4 linked regions of the Saccharomyces cerevisiae S288C genome follow. The gene in region 1 interacts genetically with each later gene. Each region holds a gene or a part of one and is shown on either strand. Other genes may lie near its edges.

Region 1 (6,676 bases):
TATTATATAACAGAGATGATCGAGGCAGCGGCTGAACAGGTTCTTTAAGTAGTACCATATTCTTCAAAGCTTCCTTTTTATATGCAGAATATGTGCGCAGCAATTTCAAGGCGTAGAGTACGAGTCACTAGAGGCTCGAGCATTATATACCACTTACAAGTAGTGTTTCTTATTGGGGACACCTGTCCTAACAATGTATGGCTTTATATACCGCGCGGATAAGTAAGGCACACCCGCTCTTCGTATAATACCCGCACAAAAGATTCAGGGACCGGGTATGCTCAACGAAAAAAATAGCCAAGATTGTTGCGAGTCCTCATCAATGAGGACATACAGAGAATAAAAACAGCCATATTTTGCTTGCTGAAGGACGTTGTGCAAACCGAAGATATCAGCGGTAGTCTTTATAGGACCCGTTGGTTTATTATATACAAAGGGATCTTTAAAAGGTCCGGTGCGAGGGGACGGGTGGAGATGGAAGTTATCAACCAAATGCAATTTATCCGAAGCGCAAAAAAAATAAAGGTGCTCCGATGGACCTTAGAAAGGAACTCCAAAATGCTGTGATGGACCGGCGAGGGCGGTAAACGAAACTACCACATTGCATAAGAAACAAAATGTACGGCCCCTTCTACACAATCTATTTATGGTTTTCGTCTTGACCTCCTAATTACTTAATTAATGATTACATTTCTTAAAAGCACAAAAATAAAGTAGCTACCCTTCTTAAGCCATAGTAGTTAAAGCCTCAAGTGCATTGATAATCTCCTGACCCTAGGTCGTCTTTCGCGTGGGCTATCGCCACCTAAGGAAAGGATTAAATGGAGCAAGTATTGGAAATGTAAAGAAATTGCAGAATGTTCTGATTACTTTTCATCACCCAAAGAGTCCATACTACCACTACCACCAACCATTGCCGGTGAGCGGTTTCTTGCTCATTAACATGACGTACAAGGGAACGGAATGTCCCTTGTACGTTGTAATGTCTTTTGCTCTCGTAAAGAAGCCTATACACGCCCCTTCCTTCCGCCCTTCGGCATCCGCTGCCAACTGGGTGGGGGCTCAATGGATCTCTTTACTCTGGCCCTTAGAAGCCTTCTGAAATTCTCGGCTTAGGCATCGAACGATGAAGAAACTAACTAAAAATATACGCCATTTTTTTGGGGAGGGGGGGCCGCACTGAAACGCGAAATGCCAAAAAAACGCGAAACGCCGCAGTAAAAGGTCAGTACCGCGCAAAAAATACAAAAATGACAACAATATTGGCCTTTCTTTTCCTAAAGCAATTAACTGGAAAGCGAGGTTCTAAACATCTGGCCAACCCCTAAATTTTTAATAATTCCGAAGCGGGATATATTGCATCTGGCAATCTGAAAAGCAATAGAAAGAAGCGGCCTAGTACTGCATAGTGAGTGATAAAATATACATATTAAGGTTGGGGAAATGGTACGCGCTTTCAAGTAGCTAGAAAGATCTGAATGTTCTGAAGTACGGTTTGGATTTATACGCGGTTATTTCCTGGACTAGCTTAGAGCCAATTAATACTGACGATTGCCTCTTTTTCTTTACCGTTTATGTATGCTGTATGCCCTTTTCATGTATAAAAGAAGGGTAATTTAAAAAAGTTTATAATCATCCAGATTCCTTATTTTTTTTCTTCTTTCGCCAGGTGTTTTACCCAGCTAAGACTAACCTTGTGGTTCAGATTACACTAGTATTGCCGTCCGATATTACAATTCTGAAATCAGTTTTCTTGTGATCATTCTTTTTTTCTCTCTTGCCATTCTTAAACGTGGCCTACAAGAACTCTTCTTCTTTCCTGGTTCGCATCTGTGTTAAACGTATAGATTTTCTTACATAGAGGCCTAAAAAGCATAATAGGTGGTTTCCTTTCAATATATATCTGAAACATTGAATATACTGAACACAATTCACATTTCAAAACCTTGGGTACTGTTGAGTCAACATCAAGATCAGCCTATTTCATAATTTACTTTATCTTTTCACACAAAAAGAGAACAGGTAAAAAAGAACAGATCTGCTAGCCCCGAGAAGATCATTGACACATCATTGATTGGCAAGTTAAGTAATAAAAGAAAGGTAATAACATCAAGAAGTCAAGCGCCTTGAAATTACTAGATTTGGACTACGGATCAGCAAAAGCCTGCTACTACAACCGCCACTTTTACTATTCCTTAAGATAAAAGCTAAAAAACCAAAAAAAAAAAAAAAAAAACCTCCTCAACTCCTCTCCAACACATAGTAAAGCGAATTCTACGCAAATTTATAAATCAATTACGATTTTTCCAGTTTCTCTTATGGTATGTATTATCTCTTAATTCCCAATATTTTTCTTCGCCAATGGAGCATAAGCTTTAACGGGATCTTCTAACAACAAATAGCATAATAACCAAAAACCAGCTTCAGTGGGATCAGCCTATCGACACGCCTTTTTTAGCGGTCTAACAATCTCCGTTTATGTCGTATGGAATTTCTGATACTTGACCCTACCTTATTTCTCGAATATGCCTATAAGGATTTTCTCGAAAGAAGGGCTTCGGGAAAGAGGCGCCTCAGGCAAAAATGAGCAAAAAAAAAAAAAAAAAGAAAAGATTCGAAGATCTATGAAAAATTTATGCAGATTCGTTGAGAGTTATAAGGATTTTACTCTTTATGGTTATAGGTTTCATTCTAAAATCAAGCATAAATTTTGTGTTTTGTCTTCCTCTTTTCCTGTCCTCTTTTTTTGCCATCCTCTGTCGCCATTGAAGTCGAACTTTATAGATAGATTTACTCTTGATTCTCACGCATCTCAGGCCACCTGGACACTGTACATGGTTGTGATTGTTCTCTTTCTCAGTTATCGAAATTGATCCTAGGCTTATACTCCAAAATCGGCTCTGCACACGCCTTATTTTTGTGGTTTCACTTTACTAACACAACATTCTTTTATTCAATCAGATCAATAACGAACCATTTCCATCTGCCGACTCAGCATCGATTTTAACTACGTCTACATCAAATAACTCCTTAATGTCTTACAATCATCAGCCTCAACTATCTATTAACTCCGTCCAATCACTCTTGGAGCCCGTGACCCCTCCGCCTTTGGGCCAGATGAATAACAAAAGAAACCATCAAAAGGCTCATTCGCTTGATCTCTCTGGTTTTAATCAGTTCATATCATCGACACAATCTCCCTTGGCTTTGATGAATAATACATCAACATCGAATTCTGCTAACTCTTTTTCCCCGAATCCTAATGCTGCTAGCAACTCCACTGGGCTTTCAGCCTCAATGGCAAATCCTCCAGCCATTCTACCATTAATCAATGAGTTTGATCTGGAAATGGATGGTCCCAGGAGAAAATCAAGCCACGATTTCACGGTTGTTGCTCCTTCGAACTCTGGTGTCAATACCTCCAGTTTAATTATGGAAACACCATCCTCTTCAGTGACTCCTGCTGCATCTCTCAGAAATTTTAGCAATAGTAATAATGCTGCTTCCAAATGTGGAGTGGATAATTCGTCATTTGGTTTGAGTAGCTCAACGTCTTCATCTATGGTCGAAATCAGCGCACTACCCCTTAGAGATCTGGATTATATCAAACTTGCCACTGACCAGTTTGGCTGCCGTTTTCTTCAAAAAAAATTAGAAACCCCCAGTGAATCCAATATGGTGAGAGACTTGATGTATGAACAAATTAAGCCATTTTTCTTGGACCTTATTTTGGATCCGTTCGGTAACTATTTGGTTCAAAAACTATGCGATTATTTAACTGCCGAGCAAAAGACATTATTAATACAAACAATATATCCAAATGTTTTCCAAATATCAATCAATCAGTACGGAACTCGTTCCTTACAGAAAATTATAGACACTGTCGATAACGAAGTTCAAATCGATCTCATTATTAAGGGATTTTCCCAAGAATTTACTTCGATTGAGCAAGTGGTTACTTTGATAAACGATCTTAATGGTAACCATGTGATTCAAAAGTGTATTTTCAAATTCTCGCCATCAAAATTTGGTTTCATCATAGATGCTATTGTAGAACAAAATAATATCATTACCATTTCTACCCATAAACATGGTTGTTGCGTACTACAAAAATTACTAAGCGTTTGTACTCTACAACAAATTTTCAAAATTTCTGTGAAAATTGTGCAGTTCCTTCCTGGATTAATCAACGATCAGTTCGGTAATTATATCATCCAATTTCTGTTAGATATCAAAGAATTGGACTTTTACTTATTGGCTGAGTTATTTAACCGTTTATCCAATGAATTATGTCAACTATCTTGTTTGAAGTTCTCCTCAAATGTTGTGGAAAAATTCATTAAAAAATTATTTAGAATCATTACTGGATTTATTGTTAATAACAATGGGGGTGCCTCCCAAAGGACTGCAGTTGCTTCTGATGACGTGATTAATGCTTCTATGAACATTCTTTTGACTACCATTGATATATTCACAGTCAATTTAAATGTGCTAATCAGGGATAATTTTGGTAATTATGCGTTACAAACGCTATTAGACGTTAAGAATTATTCTCCTCTGCTTGCTTACAACAAAAATAGTAACGCAATTGGGCAAAACAGCTCTAGTACATTGAATTACGGTAACTTTTGTAACGATTTTTCATTGAAAATTGGTAACTTGATTGTCCTTACAAAAGAATTACTTCCAAGTATTAAAACTACATCCTATGCAAAGAAAATTAAGTTGAAAGTTAAAGCTTATGCAGAAGCCACAGGTATACCATTCACTGACATATCTCCTCAAGTCACTGCAATGAGTCATAACAATCTTCAAACGATTAACAACGAAAATAAGAACCCCCATAACAAAAATAGTCATAATCATAATCATAATCATAATCATAACCATGCTCACAATAATAATAACAATAATAATCAAAAGAGTCATACCCGTCATTTTTCTTTACCAGCTAATGCTTACCATAGAAGAAGTAACAGCTCTGTAACCAATAATTTCTCAAACCAATATGCACAAGATCAGAAAATTCACTCTCCGCAACAAATTATGAACTTCAACCAAAACGCATATCCCTCGATGGGAGCACCTTCTTTCAATTCTCAAACTAACCCACCATTGGTAAGCCATAACTCGTTACAAAACTTCGACAACCGCCAGTTTGCAAATTTAATGGCACATCCTAATTCTGCTGCACCAATCCATTCGTTCTCATCATCTAACATTACCAATGTGAATCCTAATGTTTCAAGGGGATTTAAGCAGCCTGGATTTATGATGAATGAAACCGACAAAATTAATGCTAATCACTTCTCGCCATACTCTAATGCAAATAGTCAAAACTTCAATGAATCTTTTGTGCCTCGTATGCAATATCAAACGGAAGGTGCAAACTGGGATTCAAGTTTGTCAATGAAGTCGCAGCATATTGGTCAAGGCCCATATAATCAAGTTAATATGAGCCGCAACGCTAGTATTTCCAATATGCCTGCCATGAATACCGCTAGAACATCTGATGAACTTCAATTCACTTTGCCATAATACTTTTTTTTCTTTCTTTTTCTTTCCTTCTTACTGTACAAATATTTTACGCAGAAATCAAAGACAAAAGAAAAATAAAAAATAAAAAATAAAAAATTCAACTAAGCAATGACGTCCTACTAAAGTCCCAAAATTTGAGCCGGAAAAAAATGGTAAAGCAAACTATTGCCATCTTTATATTTTGTATTCTGTTTCCGAACACGTATCCAAAATCCTCCCACTGCCTTTGCAGGGTTAGCATTGCTCCCTACCAAAATGATCTAATTTTTTTTTGAATCGTTTTTTGTCAACGATTATTTTTGTTTTAAATTCCTCATCTTCTGAACTTACGCCCAACTATTATTTAATTCATTCATTCATTAAGCAATCCATACGTCCATTCATTCATTCAGTTTTCTTTTTGTCTATTACTGTCATTTTATTTTCAAATCCAATTGTCCTTTAGGACACTAATGTGTTAAAATATCCATTCGCTCAAGCATTTTTAATAAATAGGAAAATACCGTTTGTTTTTCTTTGTCATTTGTATAAATTTTTCTACTGGTTCCTGTCTTGGTTGGCTTTATTATATTTAGGTTTAACTTGTACTAACAATGATACATATTTGTATATTTTATTATAATATCATATCTAACTATATCTAAAATCGTTGAACTATTCAGAATGGAATTGTACACCAAGAAGAATTATGCTATAACACCATAAGGTCATTACATTTGGGTTTTGACTGCTAATTAGTTCGAAGTCGGCGTTAAAATTTAAAGAATATTTATACATATGAATATGTATATGAATGCAAAGTATGCTAAAATATTTATAAAGCAAAAATCTCGGTGGGCTAAACTAGGTCAAAGCAGATGTTATGAAGATATTGGCCCCATTGTAGGGATCATCTTCTCTCCGAATTAAGATGCATATTTTTTGAGAAAGTGCTTCTTCAGGTATATCGTAAGGTGAAGTACTGCTCTCTTCACCTAGAGGTTCCACAGCATCAAACGGATTTACGTACCTTGGGGGTATGAAAGCCGAATGTAGGTGGATAGATTCAAACTGGAAGTTTTCTAACCTACAGTAGTTCTTCATACCTCCTATTGGATAGAGGGTGATATTTCCACCTTCGGATTTTTCGTAGTCAAGA
Region 2 (6,650 bases), on another chromosome or scaffold:
TATTTGCAAACAGGCGTATGATTGTCGTATATAACAGGGCACTTTCGGCAGTGAATCAATAGGAGGCGTATAAGAAAAGCCAATTAGTACCTATATATATATATATATATATATATATATATATATATTCCTTTATTATAATTCCTATCAGCGATTTTTGCATCACACCCAAGAAAAATCTATAATAGAGACACAAAAAAATGAACGTAACTGAAAATGCTCTATTGTTTAAGTGCGGTAGCAAGGGCTATATTAATCAAACCTATACGCCGACAGAAATTTATAATTGTGGGGTAGCTGAAGGAAAGAAAACTGCTAAAGAAAAGAACCCAACTTATTCAATTTTTTATGATACATTTCTCACTGGGCAGCCTGCTGAAAGTCCTGAAACGTTTACGTGTGGTTCGCATGGCTTCACAAATGCGAGTTATGTGGCAAGCGACTTTTATGCATGTGGTTTTCTGCAAGGGAAAGGTACAGAAACCAATGCGGGAATACATAATACAAGGCCTTCTCATTCTCTCGCCAAATTTACCATACTGTTCATGCTAGTGTTGTATACAATTGTCTAATTCTCAAGGTATGACACTTTGGATTGGTGGTCGCAGTAGCCACCATATAATTTTTTATCGTTTCTACATATAATACGAGACAGTCAGACAGAACTTTGGGTCGCCTGAGAAGAAAGACTATAAAAATGTAACCCGTCAGTAGGACTCATCTTAAAACAGTGGGTAATTTACTAAGGAGGCTGGAAAAACTGCGATAATCGGCTTATAGTACATATATATAGAATAATCATTAATCGAGCCTTTACCGCGAAATTCATGGATTTCTCAAAAACAAAGGTGCAATTACATGTTAAGCACCGAATTTCTATGCGAAACAGGTCCGTCTCATCAGTCATAGCTTTCCAAGTATATAAAACTTGAACGCAAAAGTGCGTCATCGACGCCTTTTTTTGCGCAAGGATTGTTACTATTCATTTAATGAACTCTGATGTCTTAATAAGCCAATGGTATCCATAAGTGAAGGTGAAGTCTACTGTGTTACATTAGCAAGTCAGAACTCCTATACGATACAGTATACTGCATTATGGGCACTAAAATAATTTAGATTATAGAAAATATCGATACTATGCTTCCACTTCTCACGAAGCGGCCATGTTTTAAATGAAGTACGTTAACGCTAACACAAGGCTTGACAACTTTCATGAGCGTCAAATAGTCTACGTGTGGGCTCACTTTTTCAGATTTCTTCTTGGCTTTTGTGAGATGTATAATTAACAATAATCATAAAATCGCTACATAAAACAAAGCATAAAAAATTACAGATTTCCTGTTCAAAAATCAAATCGGTCCAGTTCAGCTATTGTTCTGCCGTTGTTCATGCTCAGAAAATTGGACCATGGTGTCATCTAACTTTAGTTGGTCCCATTAAGCTCTCTTCTGTATATCATGTTTGCCATATTGTCATATCATCTGCTTAGTATTAAACCGTTGTGGAAAACAAGAAAATTGCGAATTACTAGTATAGAAAATGCATTCTAAGTCGCCTGTGATTCCAATAGCAAAGAAATTGATCTTAATGGAAGTAGGAAATAGCTGTGGCAAAGAGACAGGATACTAAGATTGGTTTAAGGCGAGGTCATACTTAGCTATTTCCTTCACCAACATTGGTTTTCGAACAGTCAAGAGATGAAAACGCAAAAAAGTGCACTATAAAGTAAATACTCAAACGTTCCCAAAACAAAACGAGAAGAAGCGATAGGCACCTCAAAACTGAAATTATGGGCAAACAATATAACCCGTAAAAGATCACTTTACGACCAGAACATAATCAACATGGGTGGCCCCCATGTTGTACTCAGTTAGCTTTTTGAGCTAGCAAATATATCAAGAAGCCCGCATGTGCTACTTACGTTTGAATTACTTCTCGTTGTAACGCACTTTTCTACAACGTACCTCACTAGTAAATATAACTTAATGCTTGCAGGTTAGCCCATCGCTACAACACCTCCCCACAAAGTATTTACTTCAAGAAATCGATCTTGGCGAGTATATCCTTATCTTTATGTAAGTATCTTTTTCGTCTTCAAAGTATGCCGGGTATTGATGGGCACGGAAGATGTAAACAAAATGGAAAACAAATAAGAACAGAATCTGAAACGTCATTTGAGAATTTAAAATATGTAAATCATTCCTCTCGAGCCAACCAAGGCTGTTCTTGCTAGAAACCAGCAATTGGGCTTCTCATTCAAAACAGTATCCGTCTTTGCCTTAACATTGTTATTTGGCCTTTATCCCAGATATACGCAACCGTATTTATTCAAATCCAAAGAAAAAAAGAGCAGACAAATTATCAAACAACAAGTACCGGAGGTGAGCAATGATTCAAAATTCTGCTGGTTATCGATCGCTGAATACTGCATCTCCGATGACCGTGCAGGTGAAGAATCAGAAGAAAATATGCGCCCGTTGTAACAAGTTAGTTATACCCGATAGCCAACGAACTAAAACAACTTTAAAGGCTCTCGGTAAATATTATCATGAAAGTTGTTTTACCTGCCAAGACTGTCAGAAACCTTTAAAACCGAAGTACTTCCCATATCAAGTAGACAAGACAAGTGAATCTATATTGTTATGCCAATACGATTATTTTAGAAGACATAATTTGTTATGTCATGTATGTGATACCCCATTGCGTGGATTATATTATACCGCATTCGGTTACAGATACGACGAAGAGCATTTTTCTTGTACAATATGTGCTACTCCTTGTGGGGTTAAAAAATGCTTCATGTACGGAAACCAATTGTATTGCAAGTACCACTTTCTCAAGTATTTTTCGAAACGTTGCAAAGGGTGCGAGTTCCCAATATCGGATCAATATATCGAGTTTCCTAAAGGTGAAGAAATACATTGTTGGCATCCGGAATGTTATGGAATTCATAAATATTGGCATGTAAATTTAGCAGCAGAAACTGTTGGTTTGCAGTACCTTCCCAAGCTGGAATATAACCCAAATTCCGGAGACAAAGATATAAACCCAACTGCCTACGAGTTAGATAAACAAATGCAGGCGTTTAACTTTATTCTATCTAAAACGTGGTCGGTTTTATATCGTTTTGAGGAAGAGGCAGCTTCTTGCATTTCTGATATGTTTCAATATTTGACAAGCAATGATCAGTTAAAGGGCATAGAGTCTACGGGTCTGTTGGTACTAAAAATCGACTGTCTTTTCCGGGGACTGGATACTTTAAACCTCTCGACGAACAAAAGTATGCCAGTTAACAGTGATCAAGAATGCATTGAAAACAACGCAATGGCGGCCAGTAAATACAGCAAGTTTCCCAAAAATCTGTCCACAAAAATTATGATATATTTACAACTCTTAAGAAAGTTAGGGACAGAAAACAAAAACGAAACTATCACAATTTCATCTTTTATGTCTGTTATTACTGGATTAGCCCATTTTCTAAAACTGTTAACAAGATTTGGGCTATATACGGCTCTAGAAAACAATAAGTTGACTCATTCTGTTAATCCATTGTTGAGGTTTTTAAGAGAAGTAGAGAAAAATGAGCTTTTTGAAAATAACCCGTTTCAGTATATAAAGACTCCTGTTAACGCCACAGATAGTTGCGCTGGATGCAATAAATACATACAGGAGGAATGCATTCAATTTTATGAGCACCGGTGGCATATTGCTTGTTTTACTTGTTCTTCATGCCATAAGAATATAAATCCGAGGAGTTTGACGGATCCCACCTTTAATAAAGAGAAAAAAAAGATACTATGTTCTCACTGCTCAATTGATGATCCGGCCTCTGTGCCGGGTTTCAAATTTGTTACTAAGCTAGCACAACTAATTTTTCTTCTAAAAATTGCCCTAGTCAAATCAAGAACTGTAATGTTGAAATCGAAAGCATCTAACAAGGTAGGCAGAAACTCTTTACAGAGTACTATGCTAAAGGAACAAACTTACATTAGGACACTGAATGATATTAAAAGATTGAGATCTAGAAGAGAAAGTGTTCGGGTCACTCATAACAAACAACAAGCTAGAAAATCAGTGATACTGGAAACTGCAGAGACAGATTTAAATGACCCGACAAAACAAGGAGATAGTAAAAATCTTGTGATTCAAACAGATGACCCATCATCGAGCCAACAAGTGAGCACACGTGAAAATGTTTTCAGTAATACTAAGACGTTGACACTAGATGATATTTCACGTATTGTTGCCGCTGAACAAGCAAGGGAGCTAAGACCTAACGCTTTTGCACACTTTAAAAAACTAAAAGAAACCGATGACGAAACTTCGAATGTTGTTCCCAAGAAAAGCGGAGTTTATTACTCTGAATTAAGTACGATGGAACTCTCGATGATAAGGGCTATCAGTTTGTCACTGCTAGCTGGTAAACAACTGATATCGAAGACTGATCCTAACTATACTAGCTTAGTCTCAATGGTCTTCTCGAATGAAAAGCAAGTCACAGGTAGCTTTTGGAACAGAATGAAAATCATGATGAGCATGGAGCCTAAAAAGCCCATCACTAAGACTGTTTTTGGTGCTCCTTTAGATGTGTTGTGCGAGAAATGGGGTGTTGATTCCGATTTAGGTGTGGGGCCAGTGAAGATTAGGATCCCCATAATTATTGACGAGCTAATATCATCTTTGAGGCAAATGGATATGTCAGTAGAAGGTATTTTCAGGAAAAATGGAAATATCAGAAGACTGAGAGAACTAACTGCTAACATCGACAGTAATCCAACAGAAGCTCCAGACTTCTCGAAAGAAAATGCAATCCAATTATCTGCTCTTTTGAAGAAATTTATCAGAGAGCTTCCCCAACCGATTTTATCGACAGACTTATATGAACTATGGATTAAGGCCGCGAAAATTGATTTAGAGGATGAGAAACAGCGTGTTATATTGCTAATATATTCCTTATTACCCACTTACAATCGCAATTTACTGGAGGCACTTTTGTCATTTTTGCATTGGACGTCCTCATTCTCTTACATTGAGAATGAAATGGGATCAAAAATGGACATTCACAATTTATCCACAGTCATAACACCTAATATTTTATATTTGCGACATAAAGAAATTTCCAATGATAACGTCCCTGACGAACCAGAATCAGGTTTAGTTGATTCATTCGCTCAAAACAAGGGAGAAAATTACTTTTTGGCTATTGAGATAGTTGATTACCTGATTACTCACAATGAAGAAATGGCAATGGTTCCGAAATTTTTAATGAATCTTTTAAAAGATGTGCAGTTACAAAAATTAGATAACTACGAATCAATCAACCATTTTATTTCCACCGTTATGCAAAGTAAAACAATCGATTATTCCGAATGTGACATAAAAACTCCTGTCACAGTCAAAGATTCGACCACAACGGTCATACAAGGTGAAATAAACAAATAATAGGCAGAAACTGTAAGTTTCCCCTCATTTTCCTTTTTTTCTTCTCCTTCCCCTCAGATTTCGAGGTTTGTCGTTCTTATTAGAGTTCTTTGCTTTTTTCTTTGCCTATTTCAATAAAATCTTACCAGTATGCTATGGAAATGGACATTATTTTATTATTATACAACATAGTATATTCTGACTAAAATGGAATTAGAAATTGTAACATTAGTATGTACTTATAATCATTTGTATCATTGTATTACTCGCCTTTTGATGTAAATTTTGTTTATATCTCAGAACATCTCCAACAGCAGATCAGAAGTTACATTGTTCTTGTAAGTGCTTAAGAAGTCTGTTAGCAAATTGAAATCTTTCAGAAGAATATTCCACCAAAATTTCGGAAAAGCAATACCAGCGGTAAAATATCTGCCATGCTCTATATTATGTGACTTTATTTTAGGTGCACCCCCCACCAGTAACTTATTCTCTAAATAATAATTAATGACACCATTGAATATATTAGTTCTAAATAAAAAAAAAAAAGCTAAGAAAAGAAATATTTAAACAACGCTTGCAAATCATACTCAAGAGGATGCTTTACTTCAGCAATATCATGATTGTTCAAAAACTCATTCATTGCGACCTTTCTTCTACTTTTGAAATCTAACTGTTTACCAAAAACCTTAAGGTTCAAATCATTAGCAAATTTTGTGAGAAGTGTAAGCTCACATCTAAGTTGAATGACAATTGTTGGTACAATTTTTAAGAAGGTTTTTAATGGGATATCCAACACAATTAATAAATTTTTGATTAGATTTTGCGATTGCACATAGGTAAGGTCTGTCAGAATATCAAGACCCAAGGAGTCGTACTTTTCCTTCGTTATATGTGGAAAAGATTTTCCAACAGTTTCAAAATTAAGTTCGGTAGAAGGATCACCATATAGTTTTTTTAAATTCAGCTTCTCTTGGAATACATCTTCTTTTAGTGATAGAATTGTTTCTTCGAGTTTTAATATTTCACTTTGTTTTCCAGCTAACTCGTCAGTAATTTTCTTATGTGTGTTTTCTGACTCTTGAATTTGAGTGCTCCATCTTGAAGCAATCAAAGCCTGATTCTGAAGTTTCTCAACAATTTCCTGGTGTTCATTCATGTAATCGTTCAATTTATCTTCGGCATTTTTCTGAATTTTTTCACTTAGTATTAATTTTTCTTTTAACTCGCTC
Region 3 (6,354 bases), on another chromosome or scaffold:
TAAAATTTTGGCTCTTCAAATCTGGCTTCTTGTCATGAAAACGAGGCTGTGTCACACAAAGACCAGTAACGAGTCCATAATGCGCCTTAAAGGAAACAAATTCTTCTCTAGTAGACATGTTCCAGTATTTAATCACACCATCTGCAGAACCAGTAGCCAATTTATTCAGACTACCATAATTTTTGGCAATAGCATAAACACCATCTCTATGACCGTATCCTAACTGACCCACAAAGGGTTTAGCAAACATTCTTTCCAATTTGGTGGCATTCAAAGCTTTAGTATATTCACGTGCCCTTTCAAAAGGATGCAATTCAGGGTTCAAATTCCTGGGCATTTGAGATTCCTGCGTACTTTTAACAGGGACATAGTCATCAGCACTTCTTTTAATGGTCTTAATCTTCATTTTAACGCCTTATCTTCGCGAGTCAAACTACGTTAATGAAATGCGGTTGCTTTATACAACTGTAATGTAATTCAAACTCATCGATTTTTTTTCAATATCAAATTTTTCAAAAAAATGTATCGTTATGCACGGTGATGTCCCAACTCCCGACAATTTGTGACACAATACTTCAAAAAAAAAGAACAATTAAAAACTAAAAATTTACTAGCCCTCTATCTATGTATTCCCAAGTATAATTTATATTAACCTATATATCATGCTTCCTCTTCAAGCCTTCTCAGCAACCATTTCCAGCTCCGTTTCCACCTCTGTGTCCGAACAATCACTTTCAAAGGCGCTGGATGGCTTCTTGGAGTAATAGTTGTTCAAATTCTGTAAAATTGGTTTACCAATTCTCTCTATGACATCATGTGCCCATAGGACATCAATATGGGCATACTCATCAATGTACCAGATCTTGTAGTTGACATTCGACTCCACATTGACGAAATGATTGATTAGTCTTTCTCCGTCCACCAATCTATCTTGCTTTGGAACAAACAAGTAGATATTTGGGGCCTTTGATGCGTCTGAAAACCACTTAACATTGTCGGGGAACATCTTATGGGAACCAAATTTAAAACTTACCTTGTTGGGGTCGGGTGACAGCCACCATTGCATCAACTTCACTGAAACATGGACTGGCGAAAACAGGAAATGGCGATCTCTTAATGCGGTATCCCAAAGGGTATCGTTCCAATCAAACAGGTAATTGAAGATGGTGTAACAAACAAAGGAGAACAAGCTCTCACCAACGCACAAGTTTCTTACAATCATCATTATCTCAAAAAAGCTCGTTTCACCAAAGAACCAGGGATTTTCGATTTCCTTTGTCATAAGCTTAACAAACAATTTCTCGTTAAGTAAGGGACCAGGATACACTGCGGGGGCCAAGGCAATATAGTTTGCGATCTTAGAAGTGAAAAAAGATTCTTTAGATCCCGAACCGGGAGGGAAAAACTTATCTTCGTTGACCAAGCCCATAAACCCCTGTGTAGTGCCCTGAGAATGCGAGATCAAAGTAAGCTTTTCAAACTGCGTCTTAGCTAACACGGTATCAATCAAAAGGGTCAGATCGTACTTAACCATCTCGCGAAGGTCCCAGTCCCACCTGGAAGCTAGTGTCGGTACTTTCGCTTCGTTCCATTCCGGCCTAAACCCGCATCTGTTATTCCCTAACCATATGTCGTAACCGGATTGATACAGAAAATATGCCAGAGATTTTCTACCATTGGATGCGAACGAACCACTGCTTTGCAAAAGGCCATGTAGCATCAAAATGGGTGGCCTCTTCTTCTTGTCAGAATCTGTCGTTCTATATTTTGGTATCAAGTGCCACAAATCTATAACAAACCCATCTTCGGTCTCCAATCTAAATTCCTCTATTTGAATATTGTACTGGTTAAAATAATAATTAAGATCCGCAACTAATGTCAAGTCTTCCGATAAGATTAGATTCTGTAATGGATTGTCGCACTGTACAGGAATTTTTTCAAAAACCGGTTCATGATTGGCAATTTCATTGCTACTATTATTGAACTTTCCTTGCGTTACGCCTTCGGTAACTTTTTCCTTCTCGATAAACCTAAAAATAAGCTTTGTCAAAAATTTGTGAAAAAGGTTTTTATGCAGTGACGAGGACCCCACTTCGTGGTTCTTTTTACGGACAACCGTTCTTGTATGATCGTAGACGATACCGTTTTTCTTGTCATGTTCCAGATCGAGGTATGGCGTCGCGTATGCATTGGTTCTAGTGAGAACATGGTCATGGTGTACGTTTCTTTTACTTTCGTCATCAACTTCGATTTGGGTCGATGAACTCCTAGTGTCTCTGTGCTCATTTATAAAATGGTGTGCCAGCGCCAGAACAAGCACTACTGCCATAAAACAGCAGACTATGAACGTTGCTAGTAAATTCCTAGCTCTTTTCAACACCGCAGAAACACCCATCGTGTGAATTGTGCAGTAAATATACCTATATATAAAACTATTACTTTATCTGCAGCCATCTATATTAAAAAATAAGTATTTTTGTGTATAACAATAGATTTCTATATATATATGTATATATATATATATATATAAATTTAGATTAACCACAATATCATTTTATCGCTGCATTTTTTTCATCTTCTTTCGTTCCTTCGCGTTTCTTTTCTCGTATATAATAAGCTTTTGCACATTGCCTGCGATACGTCCGAAAAGGGAACGTTTTTTCCCGATCAGACCGCCCCAGAACTTCTCGAAGAAAAGTGCCCGAGGGCAGAGCAGCAAGACCTAAAAAATTCGTGCCGGGGTTTGAGCTAGAAAAAGAGGGCTAAAGATAAACATCCGATCGCTATCTACGGTAATTGCGCACTCTGTTACCCTGAACTGCATTTCTTTTTTCCTTCTAAAAATTGTGGAGAGAGGAAGATAATTTCCCAAATGTACCATTAGCACACTTGAGAATGTATATTGGATGTATGAAGCTTGATGAATAGGAGAAAAAAAAAAACAAAGAAAAGAAGGAAAAAGAAAAATAAGTGGTGCCTGCACATATTTGAATATCTACTGTAAATAGTATAACACTGCTTAGCTAATTTTTTTCTGGTCATCTGGTCTCTAAAGAGAAACATAAGAAAAAGATAGGAACATTGAAAGGCGGTGAAAAGGAAACTTCCTTGCTACTGATATATCTATAAGCATAGAAGTACGCAAGCAAACAAGAAAACAAACAAGAACTACGCATTTAAATTTCTTCTGAATAACGCAATATTGCGGGTATAAATGGAAATGAACATGGATATGGATATGGATATGGAACTCGCATCCATAGTTTCTTCTTTAAGCGCCCTGTCCCATAGTAACAACAACGGCGGTCAGGCCGCCGCGGCCGGCATTGTGAACGGCGGTGCTGCTGGATCACAGCAAATTGGCGGCTTCAGAAGGTCGAGTTTCACCACGGCAAATGAAGTAGATTCAGAGATCTTGCTGCTTCACGGTTCCAGTGAATCTTCACCGATCTTCAAGAAAACCGCCCTATCAGTTGGTACTGCTCCGCCATTCTCCACGAACTCGAAAAAGTTTTTTGGTAACGGCGGCAATTATTACCAGTACAGATCAACCGACACTGCCTCCCTGTCATCCGCATCGTACAATAACTATCATACTCATCATACTGCGGCTAATCTCGGGAAAAACAACAAGGTCAACCATCTTCTGGGCCAGTATTCAGCTTCCATTGCTGGTCCCGTTTACTACAATGGCAATGACAACAACAACTCTGGTGGGGAAGGGTTTTTTGAGAAGTTCGGAAAATCTTTGATTGACGGTACAAGGGAACTGGAATCTCAAGATAGACCCGACGCTGTCAATACTCAGTCCCAATTCATATCAAAAAGCGTCTCTAACGCCAGCTTAGACACACAGAATACTTTCGAGCAAAATGTCGAGTCTGACAAAAACTTCAACAAATTGAATAGGAACACTACTAACAGTGGTTCGCTTTACCACTCCAGTTCAAATTCAGGCTCATCTGCGTCTTTAGAGTCCGAAAATGCTCATTACCCCAAGAGAAATATCTGGAACGTAGCCAACACACCAGTATTTAGACCTAGTAACAATCCAGCCGCTGTTGGGGCCACAAATGTCGCGCTTCCTAACCAACAAGATGGGCCTGCAAATAACAATTTCCCCCCCTACATGAACGGCTTCCCACCCAATCAGTTTCATCAGGGCCCTCATTACCAAAACTTCCCCAACTACTTGATCGGATCTCCTTCAAATTTCATCTCCCAGATGATTTCAGTACAGATTCCAGCAAATGAAGACACCGAAGACTCAAATGGTAAGAAAAAGAAGAAGGCAAACAGACCTTCTTCTGTTTCTTCACCTTCGTCCCCTCCAAACAATTCTCCGTTCCCGTTTGCCTACCCCAACCCAATGATGTTTATGCCACCTCCACCACTCTCTGCTCCCCAGCAACAACAGCAACAGCAACAACAACAACAACAAGAAGACCAACAACAGCAACAGCAACAGGAGAATCCTTATATTTACTACCCTACTCCAAATCCTATACCTGTCAAAATGCCCAAGGACGAAAAAACCTTCAAGAAAAGAAATAACAAGAATCATCCTGCAAATAACTCCAACAACGCCAACAAACAGGCAAATCCTTATCTAGAAAATTCTATACCCACAAAGAATACCTCTAAAAAGAATGCTTCTTCCAAATCTAATGAGTCAACGGCCAACAACCATAAATCTCACTCTCATTCTCATCCTCATTCTCAAAGTCTACAGCAACAGCAGCAAACGTATCATCGATCGCCGTTGTTAGAGCAACTAAGAAACAGTAGTTCTGACAAAAATTCAAACTCGAACATGTCACTAAAAGACATCTTTGGCCATTCCTTAGAGTTTTGCAAAGATCAACATGGTTCACGGTTCATTCAGCGCGAGTTGGCCACCTCACCAGCCTCAGAAAAGGAGGTCATATTCAATGAAATTCGCGATGACGCCATTGAGCTTTCGAACGATGTATTTGGTAATTACGTCATTCAGAAGTTTTTTGAATTTGGTAGCAAAATTCAAAAAAATACTTTGGTTGATCAATTTAAAGGTAACATGAAACAGTTATCTCTACAAATGTACGCATGTCGTGTAATTCAAAAGGCGTTAGAATATATTGATTCCAATCAAAGAATTGAGTTAGTCCTGGAATTATCTGACTCCGTTTTGCAAATGATCAAAGATCAGAACGGTAATCACGTAATTCAAAAGGCCATCGAAACAATTCCTATCGAAAAATTACCTTTTATCTTAAGTTCTTTAACTGGCCACATTTACCATCTATCTACCCACTCCTACGGCTGTAGGGTCATTCAAAGATTGTTAGAATTTGGTTCGAGCGAAGATCAGGAAAGCATTTTAAACGAATTGAAAGATTTCATACCATATCTAATTCAAGACCAATATGGTAACTATGTCATTCAATATGTTTTGCAACAAGATCAGTTCACCAATAAGGAAATGGTCGATATCAAACAGGAAATCATAGAAACTGTGGCCAATAATGTTGTCGAATACTCTAAACATAAATTTGCCTCCAACGTGGTCGAAAAATCTATTCTTTATGGCTCTAAAAATCAGAAGGATTTAATAATTTCTAAGATTTTACCAAGAGACAAAAATCATGCTTTGAATCTGGAAGACGATTCTCCAATGATTTTAATGATCAAGGATCAATTTGCCAACTATGTGATTCAAAAATTAGTTAATGTCTCTGAGGGTGAGGGTAAGAAATTGATCGTCATTGCCATTAGAGCATATTTGGATAAACTAAACAAATCTAACTCCCTAGGAAATAGACATTTAGCCAGTGTTGAGAAACTTGCAGCATTGGTTGAAAATGCGGAGGTGTGATTAGTGTTATCATCGTTCTCCTTTCACTTTTTACTATTTTTTTTTTTTTTTTTTTTTTTTTTTTTTCCTCCATTTGTCTTTCACTTACTCTATTTTATTTTGTTTTATTTTGATATCTACTCTTGTCCATAACATTTATGTTCCCCTATATTCATTATTTGCTTTTTTCCATTACCTACTTTTTGTACCTCATCTCTATTTTTCTGCAAAAATCTTTGCGCTCTTACGCTCTTCTTATTTCTGCAACAGATAGAGAATTTAACATTGTGTATTTGAAATCATTTGACTGAGAATACTGTTGTCATGTCTTTTTACATAGAAGGAACTAAAAAAATTTAAAAAAAAAAAACACAAATAACATTATATTTACTGTACATAATAAATCAAGCCTGTTTCTAACCGTTTATAGAAGTAGTTCTTATATGTTCATCCGATTAGGGCGTATCCAAATGTCCATGCCATGACAAAACCAGTTATCTCTCTAAAAAACGATTCGAAAA
Region 4 (4,968 bases), 540 kb from region 1:
TATCAAGGGTCGTAAGCGGGTCAATTGCTGCAGGAGTAGTGGTTGCAAGAGACAGGGTTTTGGTTCTGGAGTCACCACGATTACCAGCGGATTTCGGGTCAGTTGCTTCGAGAATGGTGGGGGCAAAAGACAGTTTTATGTTTCTGGGGTTACCACGATTACCAGCGGAGTAGGTTCTAACGTTATTAACGGTTTCGGAGCGATAAGTCTTGGGCTTTAAGGAGTCGGGGCTCTCTCTGGTATTCAGTACTGTGTGCAGGATTTTCGGGTAGCGGCGTAAGATTGGATTTCCAATTAACAATTGGTAGTCCATGTTATCCAGTATGTACGCGGCTAAAGTTATATGCAGGTCATTGATTTTGAGGTCAATGGTGACTGCTTCGGATGTAACGGCGGATTTGGTGGCTACGAATCCTCTAAAACGGAGTGGAGGGGTCTCGTAGATTTCGTATTTGAGAAGTTCTACAATATCTCTTCGGATAAATGACGTGGGTGATCCACTGTCAAACAGGGTTTTTACTTTCGTGTTTTGTATTTTTATGGTTTTTTCGGCGGTATTGTCCATCTCGGGGATGGCGATATAGTGTACAATTGGTAAGGTTTTGATAAAAGGAGTTTGTTGGTCTTTTGATTCGAGTTCAAGATCGGTTAGAACTCGCCTTACGTGCTCTACATTCGTTCAGGCGATGTCCCTCTTTCTTACAATAGAAGCATAGCCGATTTTTTATACATTCTTCTCTAGATGGGTTGTTATTTCTCCTGTTTCGATGATTTGACATTGGTTTATTGTAAGATCTTCTTGTCCTTACGGTATGGACGTATCCATTCTGGGTCAGATTATCTTCTGAATCATAGTCAGAGTCGTATTCTTCTTGTAAGTGGGTTGTGGCACCGATGATAGTGTCTCCATCAGCATCAAGTTCGAATCCTGGGAAGAATCTTTCAGTTAGTGCAGTTGTCTGGTAAGCCTCTTCCATGGCGTCTTTTAATGTCTCTGGTTTGTGCATTCTGACAATATTATAGGTTTCCTTTGTCAATAGCCTAGTATATGTCATTATGGCAGCTTTTTCGGTCATGAAGTCTGGTGGCATTCTGTCCCAAATCTTTCTGAATCGTTGGTTGAGACGCTCAATACCAAGTTTAGCTTCGGAAAGTTGCGTGATTGCATTAAAGATTTTATTGATATCTGGTGGCTTATAGAAATGCTGATATAATCCTTGTATGAATGTGTCGAATGTTATTTCAAGTATACCTTGTTCTTGTACAAAGTCATTAGCCCACTGAGCAGCGGGGTTTAATAAATGTCTTCTGCAGTACACAATACGACTGGCATCATTCGGCCAAGATATCATAGACATGTTTAACATTATTTCGGAGATAAAGTTTTTCAGTTTATGCGAGTCATTTCTACCTCTGAAGGTCAAAGATGGTTGGATCGGGAAGTTAGGAAGGCATTCTACTGGGAGTTTTGGATAATTTCCTCCTCCTGGGATTTGATCCATAAAGCTCATACTGGGGTGTGGTGTAGCTAGGTTCGGCTTTTCGATGGTTCGTTTGAACAATTAGTAACCTTTAACGCTACCAGGTGTTGTATTACGGGCTCGAGTAATACCGGAGTGTCTTGACAATCCTAATATAAACAGTCTTAGGGAAGTAACCAGTTGTCAAAACAGTTTATCAGATTAATTCACGGAATGTTACTTATCTTATATATTATATAAAATATGAATCATACTAAGTGGTGGAAGCGCGGAATCTCGGATCTAAACTAATTGTTCAGGCATTTATACTTTGGGTAGTTCAGCTAGGGAAGGTCGGGTTTTGTCTCATGTTGTTCGTTTTGTTATAAGGTTGTTTCATATGTGTTTTATGAACGTTCAGGGTGACGTATTGTCATACTGACATATCTCATTTTGAGATACAACACTTTCAGAAAATCAAGCTCGTATGGCGCAGTGGTAGCGCAGCAGATTGCAAATCTGTTGGTCCTTAGTTCGATCCTGAGTGCGAGCTTTTTATTAACTAGGTGGTCCTTCCATGAAAGTTTTTTTTTTTTGAAGATGTTCTTTTTTTTTTTTTGGGCCTCATTACAATGTAAGAGGTTATTATGTGTTACATGAGTAAAGCTAATTGACGCAAGCAGGTAATGAAGAAAGCCCTATATTACCGTATAGACAATGGGCGCGTCCCTAAAGAGGATACCAAATAGCAGTTTTACGCGTACCACAAAATTTAACGACCAACGCGTATTCTTCGCGTTTTTTTTTTGCGACGGTAAACAAAAAAAGGGCCCTCTGCGGTAAAACAAGTGGGTCTACCACAGGACACAGGACTTGGTTGTTTCTACTCTCCCTGTGTATCCTACAATTGGCAATTGGCAATTCGCAACCTGCGTTTAAATATTTACCGTTTTAGCACATTGATTACCTTTTTTGCTAGGGTTAAGTTTTTGCCTTTTTCTTATTAACATATATATAACTGCTTCATTTCATACAAGTGACTTTTATCTTTTATTAAATAATAACAAGCTTCACTAATCTAGCGTTCATACAACATACAAATCAGTGTGTTGAAAATTATTATTCTCTGATATTCTCTCCCTCCTTTTAAATTTTTAAAATGAATTGTATCCCTAGTCCAATTAGTGAAAGGAAAATCCAAATTAATAATGAAGATTGTATAGGCAAGGAAAATGCTTTCCATACCATTCCAAGAGAAAGTTCAATTAACTTGACACCTCACTCTACGAATGAAAAAAAAGTTCTATCCGAGGTAAACAGTAACAAAATCGATTCTTTACAACTCCCTCGAGGTAAATTGCAAAGAGATTCCACCCATTTGGAAAAAACAAGAAAGAGACAATTATCAAATGATTCAACCGATCCTATAGAGCCAAAAACTGTGAAAAAAATAAAATGTCATCAATGGAAAAATTTGGATTCGATAGAGATGGATGATCCATTCATGGTAGCAGAATATACAGATTCTATATTTTCTCATCTTTACGAGAAGGAAATCCAAATGCTACCGACACATAACTATTTAATGGACACGCAATCTCCCTATCATTTGAAAAGCTCCATGAGGGCGCTGTTAATTGACTGGTTGGTTGAAGTTCATGAGAAATTTCACTGCTTACCTGAAACATTATTTTTAGCGATCAACCTGCTAGATCGATTTTTATCACAAAATGTTGTTAAATTGAATAAATTACAACTACTATGCATCACTTGCCTGTTCATTGCCTGTAAATTTGAAGAAGTTAAATTACCAAAAATAACAAATTTTGCGTACGTGACTGACGGTGCTGCCACTGTCGAAGGAATTAGGAAGGCTGAGCTATTCGTTCTAAGTTCTTTAGGTTATAACATATCTCTACCAAACCCCCTAAATTTCATTAGGAGAATTTCAAAAGCTGACAATTACTGCATTGAAACAAGGAACATGGCCAAATTCATCATGGAATATTCGATTTGTTGTAATAAATTCATCCACCTGAAGCCATCATATTTAGCTGCAATGTCCATGTATATCGCCAGAAAAATTAAAAATGAAAATTCCAAATGGGATGAAACTTTTATTCATTATAGTGGCGGCATTGATATTGAATCAGATCCAGCGTTTAAGGATTTTATCAGTGAACTAGTTGAAGATATTGCTGTACCTGATACGAATCTAGATTCCTTGAGACTTAAATACAAAAAGCCTAAACATGGCATGGTTTATTTCAAGGTTTTTGACTGGTGTAAACAAAAACGTTGAAACATAGATCAAAATTATAGCCAGCTAACCCCCTGCATCTTAAATATCATCGATAGACATACTTCTTTATTTCTTTTATGTATTCAAAAAAAGAAAGAAAATGCATTATTCCTCACTTTAAAGATAATTTTCCAATTATGGGAGAAAAAATTTATAAATGAATTAATTATTACAGCCTACAAAACTGATACCGTGTGATAATATATATGAGATAACCGTTATATGAATAATGAATGCCTGATTTTTCTATAAAATAGATGATAAAGTAAGGAAGTGAGATTTTGGTTTTCTGTGTAGGCTAGCACCTTCACTCATGCAATGTCATAATATCATATCCATTTTTCCTTACCTTCAATGCCCATTCGATAGAAATTATGGAAGCCTTTAAAAATCTTCTCGATTGATATTTTTTCAAGAACTCGTCGTGAATAGTAGATCCAACAAGATAATCCATCAGTAATTGGCAAACGGGATATAGTTTTGCCTTTGTGTAACCACCACTATAATGGATTAAGTTGCCATCCCAGGTGCCCTTGCCCAGCATTTTTCTCGAAAGGAACATTGCCGCTGAGGCACATAATGACGGTAATATCCCGATGAACTTGAAGTCCACTATAGATATTTCCATTAGGAACTTCGCTAACGTCCTAGACTGGATATCATAGTCATCCGCTTTTGATATTCTCCTTAAGAAATTCATTGGGTTAGCGAAACTAATTTGAAAATCGAGTTTTTCCAATATAAATCTTTCACCCTCTTTAATATCTTCCACAGAGCATGCACCGTCTGTCTCGTACGCAAAATGTTTTATGCTAGGGGAGTATATTTCCTCATACTTAGATGCGATGAACAGGCATGATGTACCAACCAGTTGCAATCTATTTAACTGAACCACCTCTTCACAAAGAAATCTATCCATTATGTTTATGGCCAAATATAGAGTTTCCGGCAGAAGGCCAAACTTATTATGAATCTTGATTATCCAGTTCACCAAAATGTCTCTGTTTTGCTTAATATTTTTATGCTTATAGAGATTCGCCTTATTTGGCAATGTGATTATTTCCAAGTGATGCAAATAATCGAAGATATCATTAACCTCTTCGCTCACCATTAAGGGATCATCACAATCTTCTTCATCTAGGTCATCCCATTCGTACTCCTCCAGAACCTCTTCTTCTGTAGTCAATTCATGGAGTTTGAACTTTT

The links.
Region 2: of MPT5 (region 1) and LRG1, a mutation in one rescues a mutant of the other (synthetic rescue), as found in Saccharomyces cerevisiae (2 studies listed by BioGRID).
Region 3: of MPT5 (region 1) and PUF3, changing one suppresses a phenotype caused by changing the other (phenotypic suppression), as found in Saccharomyces cerevisiae (one study listed by BioGRID).
Region 4: mutations in MPT5 (region 1) and CLB6 impair growth when combined (synthetic growth defect), as found in Saccharomyces cerevisiae (one study listed by BioGRID).

The regions. Positions count from the first base shown.
Region 1 is NC_001139.9:165,034-171,709, forward strand, and holds MPT5 (Mpt5p), read left to right. Parts: upstream 1-2,318; coding exon 2,319-2,321; intron 2,322-2,961; coding exon 2,962-5,538; downstream 5,539-6,676. Other genes in the region: serine/threonine protein kinase TOS3, read right to left, coding at 1-58; YGL176C (uncharacterized protein), read right to left, coding at 6,382-6,676. UniProt on the Saccharomyces cerevisiae protein: RNA-binding protein involved in post-transcriptional regulation. Negatively regulates expression of HO by binding to the 3'-UTR of HO mRNA. Predominantly binds to mRNAs encoding chromatin modifiers and spindle pole body components.
Region 2 is NC_001136.10:20,435-27,084, forward strand, and holds LRG1 (GTPase-activating protein LRG1), read left to right. Parts: upstream 1-2,388; coding exon 2,389-5,442; downstream 5,443-6,650. Other genes in the region: YDL241W (uncharacterized protein), read left to right, coding at 201-572; ADY3 (Ady3p), read right to left, coding at 5,969-6,650. UniProt on the Saccharomyces cerevisiae protein: Acts in signal transduction. Activates CDC42, RHO1 and RHO2. Negatively regulates 1,3-beta-glucan synthesis. May be responsible for the down-regulation of CDC42 during mating.
Region 3 is NC_001144.5:121,575-127,928, reverse strand, and holds PUF3 (mRNA-binding protein PUF3), read left to right. Parts: upstream 1-3,214; coding exon 3,215-5,854; downstream 5,855-6,354. Other genes in the region: rRNA-processing protein SOF1, read right to left, coding at 1-406; YEH1 (sterol esterase), read right to left, coding at 674-2,395; EMC6 (Emc6p), read right to left, coding at 6,281-6,354. UniProt on the Saccharomyces cerevisiae protein: RNA-binding protein involved in post-transcriptional regulation. Negatively regulates expression of COX17 by binding to the 3'-UTR of COX17 mRNA. Promotes decay of COX17 mRNA by enhancing its rate of deadenylation and subsequent turnover.
Region 4 is NC_001139.9:704,153-709,120, reverse strand, and holds CLB6 (B-type cyclin CLB6), read left to right. Parts: upstream 1-2,619; coding exon 2,620-3,762; downstream 3,763-4,968. Other genes in the region: YGR109W-A (gag protein), read right to left, coding at 639-1,511; B-type cyclin CLB1, read right to left, coding at 4,070-4,968. UniProt on the Saccharomyces cerevisiae protein: Involved in G1/S and or S phase progression. Interacts with CDC28.